Linked DNA regions of Arabidopsis thaliana. The protein of the gene in region 1 interacts with the protein of each later gene in a pairwise test. Each region holds a gene or a part of one and is shown on either strand. Other genes may lie near its edges.

The links. Proteins that work in one complex are often made in the same cells at the same time.
Region 2: the proteins of GLR2.9 (region 1) and ERD6 interact in a protein complementation assay, tested with the Arabidopsis thaliana proteins (one large-scale study listed by BioGRID).

The regions. Positions count from the first base shown.
Region 1 is NC_003071.7:12,503,278-12,507,035, forward strand, and holds the start of GLR2.9 (glutamate receptor 2.9), read right to left. Parts: upstream 1,668-3,758; 5' UTR 1,642-1,667; coding exon 1,380-1,641; intron 755-1,379; coding exon 1-754. Other genes in the region: GLR2.8 (glutamate receptor 2.8), read right to left, coding at 3,603-3,758. UniProt on the Arabidopsis thaliana protein: Glutamate-gated receptor that probably acts as a non-selective cation channel. May be involved in light-signal transduction and calcium homeostasis via the regulation of calcium influx into cells.
Region 2 is NC_003070.9:2,871,578-2,875,335, forward strand, and holds the start of ERD6 (Major facilitator superfamily protein), read left to right. Parts: upstream 1-1,722; 5' UTR 1,723-2,026; coding exon 2,027-2,251; intron 2,252-2,380; coding exon 2,381-2,443; intron 2,444-2,518; coding exon 2,519-2,608; intron 2,609-2,733; coding exon 2,734-2,793; intron 2,794-2,914; coding exon 2,915-2,980; intron 2,981-3,070; coding exon 3,071-3,136; intron 3,137-3,238; coding exon 3,239-3,314; intron 3,315-3,418; coding exon 3,419-3,483; intron 3,484-3,632; coding exon 3,633-3,725; intron 3,726-3,758. UniProt on the Arabidopsis thaliana protein: Sugar transporter.

The DNA.
Region 1 (3,758 bases):
TCATACCATAAGCTCTTTGTGTTGGCTTTCTCCACAGCCTTAGCCAATGCAGTAATTGAATCATATGCCCATAATGCAAAAACGTTTAGATCATCTCTCATCGATGGATTCTCCTTCTCAAATGTTCTTTTCCATCTCAAACGGAAATCTCCGAGCTCTTTCGATTTGGGGACATGGCTCCTCACACCTAACACGCCCTCTATAGTATTTAAGCTACGACCATTGTTTATATGTCTCATCATATGCGTCATTCCATTGGTCATTAACCATACATACCCTTCCTCCATCATCCCGATATCCCTAGCTATCTGAAAAACCCGTAAAGCGAGACTTGATTCCATGTGGACAACAAATACTCTCGCTTGCCTCTCCATGAGCTTACGAAGTTCTTTCTGAATCTCATCATCGATAGCCTCCGGAGGGATCACACTTCTCTTGACTTCCACGTCTTGTAAAGCGTCAAACAAGAAAGGCATGAATCCTTCACCAAACTCGTTGTCCACATAAATTGCGACGACCCTTCTCCACCTAAAGAATTTGAAAATGGACGCAATGGCCCTGACCTGGGATGAGTCGTCGATAGTGGCTCTGACGAAGTAAGGGCTTTTGATGGATGTCAAAAGAGGGCTTGTTGCAGAGAATGTGATGGTCGGTACTTGAGTTTTGTTGGCCAGTTTGATCATAAAATCTGCTTGCATAGAGTTTATTGGTCCGATGATGGCGCTCACTTGCTCGGTTTTGATTAGGTCCAAGGCTGCTTGCACCACAAGCAACATAAAGAAAAGAAGAAAGGTTAAATATCCTCTGTTTTTGGATATAATATCTTCCATTTTCAATGGAAGAGTTACAACTTATAAGGCTAAGCCATGTTTGTCGAGTCCAAAAGAGCTCTAGTTGCAAAGTAATAAGACAATATTAATTTACATAAATAGTTAAAATTGTAGAGGTATCATAAGACATGTCACCAATAGTTTTCGACTATTCATCTAATATATTAAGACTCATGAGTTAAATATAATTAACGAGACTAATAGTAATCAGGATTTCTGCGACCATACAACCGTCACCATGAATTTCTAGAAGAGAAAAAAATTGGACTTCTCTATCAAGAGATTGCTCTTACCATAGACATTAGACCACATAAGAATACACTTGGTTTTTGAAGTATAGTCTAAAAGATAAATCGTCACCAAGACTCTTAGCATATACCCCCATATGATACTTTGATTTTTAATACTGATCTAAAATATTGGTCACATTCAATAAAATAGTAATTAGCTAAACCATGTCTATACGTAATATGTTTCATTCAACCGCAACTAATAAGTAATAAATCAAAATGACGGGAAGCTGAAGCAAGACATAGAGAAGTAACGAACCTGCAGCTGAAGCCTGAACAGTATCTTCCATGGAATCTCTAACGTGAAGCGTAAGTCTTGTGAGGTAATTTGGATGATCCGCGTAGAAATCGGACACGGCCATCTTTATAGAAGTGAGGCAGATCTTGGAAAATGTTGTATTGAGATCAAGAACTACTCCTACTTTGATTTCACTTGTTTGGTTTTGTCCTAAACCAACCCCCATCAACAAAAAACCGCAAACAAAGTAACTCAAAAAGGTGTTATTAGTTTTCATCATCATAATCGCCCCAAAACTGAGGAGACTTTATGTGATTCTTTAACTTACTTTTTTCCTGTTATATATATACAGTGGAAGGATCGGTTTGAAAGATACTTATAATCAATGAAAGACTTTGAAATACTATGCCAAAAATTGGTTTCTCAACGAAAGAGACATATCGATTTTTTTTTAAAAAAAAGTGTGTTGACTAGAAATTAATAAAACTGGTTTGAAAGAGTCAAATGAGGCTTTTGCAGATGAATTCTCTTTGAAAAGCAAACTACAAAATACCCATAACTTATTAAATAACCAAATCGTCTATTTTATAAAATATAAGGATCGCAATTCTTTCTTTTTTTTACTTTTAGTATTGTAATTGACATATTATAATATCATAATTGAAATAATTAAGAGTTAATTGTGCAAAATAAGATTCTTAACCCTTTTTGAGATCTATTTTTGAGGATAGCCTTTCTGAAGAAAAAAACTAATGTTTTATACATCCATCCCATGCTAATGCACGAGATAAATACTATTGTAAGCTTTTCTTATATAAAAAGAATATATACATTTTATCCAGATTTAATGGTAAATTTAAATATTATAATTTTTTAATAATTGTTTTGGCCAACTTTAAGAATTTTCAAATGTGTTTTGCAATAGGAATTACAATAATCGAAATAGGTTAGAGGTAATATTTGGAAATATATGTGTTTTAAAGAGAATAAGAATAAGCAAAAATGTGTTTGGGAAATGTAATAGGATTAAATTAAAAAAAATGGTTGAGAATAATTATATGCTTGCACACAAAAACACTAAAAATAGCTTATATATGTAGATATGTCCATACAATTAACGCAAAAAAATGCAATGAACCGTTTTTAAAGAATTCTTAGAAATAAAATGTATCAAAAATTGTCGTACTACTATAAAATAAATAAATGTTTTATAGAAGAGTGTATCTTGTAGATATGTGTACTTTGGTGGAATTAGCATACAGAAATTAAAAAATATAGGGTAAGTGAAGTGAGTTTCCCTCCAAGATTTTTAATTTTATTTTTTACGAGCAGTCGGAAATTAACGGAATTTTCTTAGTTTGGATTTATTCAGATTTAGTTTGTTCAACTATGCCATACACAATATGATTGTCCGTTGTAGAACAACATTCTCTTACGCATGTTCGAGAATAGGTCAAGAAGACGTATAATATGGGCAAATCGAAAACAAATATTCGTCAACATTATTTTTTCCAAAACAATGAAAATACATTAATCCTAAATTACAGTACATGATTTTGGATATAACTGAAGAATCTACATTTACGTGGGTGATGACGACATAAACAATTTTTTATGGTTGATATACAATAGTCTAATTTCTTAAAATTCTGTTGTGTTGAAGAATTGATTAAATTGAAATGCATTTGGTCCGATTTAAGTCATTAAAGGGTAACTGGAGGACGTTGAGTTGTTTAGCTTGGGTTATAAAGCTAAAAAAGTCTCCAATTCGAAGAGAGGGTTTCGCTAAAGGACAACCACTTCGTGAAAGGCAGTGATTGCTTTTACATAACTATGTGTACCTTTATCTTTCTTCCTCTGTTACGCTTCTTCTTGCTTGAGATTGTGATATTGTAGAGCTATGAGCATTTGCAAATAATGATATAGTAAATTATTGGATCTTTTGGCCGAGATGTAAGAATCACGCATGGTGGATGGATCATGAATGACCAGAGCCCTCTTTCACGACCCTGGTTGGGAATGGATGCGAATAGTTATCCTCGTTTATTTGGAACTAGGAACTTTCCTTAAAGTCACTTGCCACTATGTACATATGAAGTTTTTAGAGTTGCTATATTTTTGCAATGCAATCCTATTAATATAAACTTTGTTATAAATAAAAGAATAATAGCTTTGTTAGGAATATATGCAGCGAACTTAGCTTATCCTATCTATAACTTGTTATGGAATCTTCTAAACTTATCTCTATTGTTCAACAACACATTCAATATCAGATTCTTCATCTTCAAAATGTATAGTTTGCGTAGTTAACCGTTCTTCATTCGGGGTAAATGACACTCTTCTTAGTTCAAACGCCCTGTCTTGTGATGGGCTATGTGGCCGTGGTGCGATTTGCAAAGT
Region 2 (3,758 bases), on another chromosome or scaffold:
GAAGAATAACCCAAGTTAAATGCGATTTCATACGAACTAACAAAACTAGTTCATTGAGATAAAATTCAATTGATGATGAAAATCAAACTAAAAAAAACGAAGCTAAGACTGAAGCATAAAAGAGGGTTTTTCAATGTAAATATAATTATTTTTGTTTGTAATTGTCTACAATATGAACTATACAAATTTTAATTAGAGTAAGTGAAAAATAAATAAATTAGAGTAAGTGATACATCAAGGATATTAAGTTATTAACACGATGACAAAAAAAAAAAAAAAAAAGTTATTTACACAAACCATTGATTAGGTATTCAATGATGGGCCTATAAATGTTGGGGCTGGGAAGTCCAAATCTTTTTAGACGTTGGTAAGAAAATGAGGCAAACCCGAACTTTGATTTTGGGATATGAAATTGTTTTATATTCTTGCAGAGTTGTGACAGAAAGGTCCAAAACAAACTTTGTTCAATGACTTGATTTCTATTGGGCCGGCAATGTTTTCAATACTCAAGAGCCTTTTAATATTCTTAAAATAGTTTTTTTTTTTTTTTTTCTATTTTGCAAACGGCAGATGACATTTTGTAATTTTCGTATTTGTTTCTCAAAATTTTGTATGGACCTAGTTAAATCTTGAAAAATAATATAACATAATCAAAGTTATTATTTTTCACATACAAGATACATGTAAAGTATAACCACTAAAAGCAATAGGTTTTGACTTCATATAAATGAGTGAAATAGCTAGAAGGAACCGCATGTAAACGGACTGAGTCTGTACAAACCATGCTTCAGATTTCATCCAGTAATTAAATCCTTACATCAGGAAATCAATCAGAAGAAACATTTAGGTATCTCATGATTTGCTTAACTTTCTTAGATTAATGTTTCTGCCCTTAGTAGCAATAAAGTAATCTAGGACAAAAAGGTGTGGGTCTCATTTTTCTCTTTTACAGACAAGTGATGAAAAAGACATGTATAATCTTTCATGCCGCTATACCATGAACCTTCCGTTCGACTTCTTCACTCTACTGTTTATTGCATTTCTGACCAGTAGAACAGATAATCCATGTATAGAACAGTTTTGCAAATATAAATTACTGGTTAGATATATATACGTATAGTCAAATATGGCGGGATATTAATCACTTTAATATTCATTTAGATACTAATAAATGGATCAACTTCATAGGTGTGGATCCTTGGATGCACATGCATGGAGAATAGTCAAATTCAAATATATCAATTCAGAAAAACGAAGGGTGGTCGACCAAGAGCGACTTTTCAAACCATCAAATAATTGATAAGGACGATAAATTTTATTTCTTTCAAGTTAATATAATACATATATAAATAAACATATCAATTTATATTTGGCTCGAAAATAGTCATATTTAATTTTAAATAAAATAATTGAAGATAACAACTATACACACATATATTCGTAAACGTAAAAGCAAAGATGATTACTATCTAATTTATCTATGATAAAAAATCAGATCCATAATCAAGTTGACTGTGCATGGGTGACTGGATCTAAATTTCTAAACAAGACAAACCTAAGATTAAAATAAAGACGTTTTGATTATTGAGCCGTTTTATCATATATATATACGCGGGACGACCTATTCTAAATCTCTAATAATATTTAATAAAATGCTACTTGTGTTTCTACACAAAATAATAAGCGAACACAGTTTGATTTGCCCAAGCGTCCAAGACCACGACCAAGTCCACTGAATATTAAAAATTGAGCGAAAAACAAGATTTAGAAAAGTTTTTATGATTTTGTTCAAAAAAACAAAAAAAATATGACGTGTAAATTATAAAATATCAAAGTGTCCAGAGACCAGTTGACAAAAACATCCAATCCTCAAGTTGCATAAGTTCGAGCTGCTCAGAAACTTCGAAGTTCCTCACAACTCTTCTTTACCCACTTTTCTTATATCTGCTTTCCAAAACAGAGAAACCCCAAGAAAAGAAAAAGAAAAAAGAAAAGAGAAGAAAGAAGCAGGAGGAGACTTTTTGGAATGGAGAGACAAAAGAGCATGGAAAAAGGGTTACTCAGGAAGAGCTTAAGCATACGTGAGAGAAAGTTCCCTAACGAAGACGCTTTCTTAGAATCCGGTTTATCGAGGAAGTCTCCGCGAGAGGTCAAGAAACCTCAAAACGACGATGGTGAATGTCGTGTTACCGCCTCTGTTTTCCTCAGCACCTTTGTTGCCGTATCAGGCTCCTTCTGTACCGGTTGTGGCGTGAGTCTTCTTCTTTTCTTGATTCAATCTCGGTTCATACCAACCGATTTTCAATATCTTCCGAGTTTCGGTTTGACTCTGAATTTGAAGGTGAATTTACTGAACCGGCTTAATTTCTCGGTTTTGTAGGTTGGTTTTTCATCGGGTGCACAAGCAGGGATTACCAAAGATTTATCTCTCTCCGTTGCAGAAGTATGTAATCAATAATCTTTAGTTACTTCAACATGTAATTACTTCTATATTGACCGTATTTAATTGATTTTACAGTACTCAATGTTCGGGTCGATCTTGACATTAGGAGGCTTGATCGGTGCAGTATTCAGCGGTAAAGTCGCTGATGTCTTGGGAAGAAAACGGGTAAGAAGATTAATACAAGTTTCGGTTTATGATTTTTGTGAACCAAACCCAAATGCTGTCTCATGGTTTGGTTTGACTCGAACCGGTTTTTACTTTAACCATTTTTCCCACTTTTTCTGAAACAGACGATGTTGTTTTGCGAATTCTTCTGTATCACAGGCTGGCTTTGTGTAGCATTGGCTCAGGTTTTTTGTCTAAACTACTTGTCGTTTGTCCTTTTGCTGACTTGTCACAATTTATTTATATTATCCTTTTATTAATTTCTGTGTTTTCTTAAAAAAATATTTTTATTTTAATATTTTGAAGAATGCAATGTGGCTGGACTGTGGAAGATTGTTACTTGGAATCGGCGTTGGTATATTTAGCTACGTGGTAATTCCTCTTTTTCCAAATTCATTCTCATCACACAAATTTCTGTACTAAAATAAGAGAATTACTGATAAAAAGTTGTGTTTCATGTAGATTCCGGTGTATATAGCCGAAATTGCACCTAAACATGTCCGAGGATCGTTTGTGTTCGCCAATCAGGTACGTAAATTTCTATTTAATTTACTTTACTGTTATTTTTAAAACACATGTATTAAATTTTCGTTATATAACATGCTTTTTTTTTTGTTAAAATGTGAACAGTTGATGCAAAATTGCGGAATTTCACTCTTCTTCATCATTGGCAATTTTATTCCATGGAGACTACTAACAGTAGTCGGTATGATTCTGTTTAGAGATTGTAATCTAAAATATATTTTTTTAAATGATAGATGTAATGTAATTCGAACCGGTCAATTTAACATGATGTTTGTATGTTTGCAGGATTGGTGCCATGTGTGTTCCACGTCTTTTGTTTATTTTTCATCCCCGAATCTCCAAGATGGCTGGTAAGTTTTTATTTATTTAAATATTTGCAAATATAGTATTGGTTTCTATGATTATAACCAATCAAAAGCCGGTAAATATTTTGAAACTTGGTTCAAGCATTTGTAAATATTTGTTGGTGCTTCTTCATATATACTGTTATATATGACAGGCGAAGTTAGGTCGTGATAAAGAATGCCGATCTTCGTTGCAACGCCTTAGGGGATCTGACGTCGATATTTCTCGTGAAGCAAACACAATTAGAGTATGCAAAATTTAGTGTTCATTTTAATATATT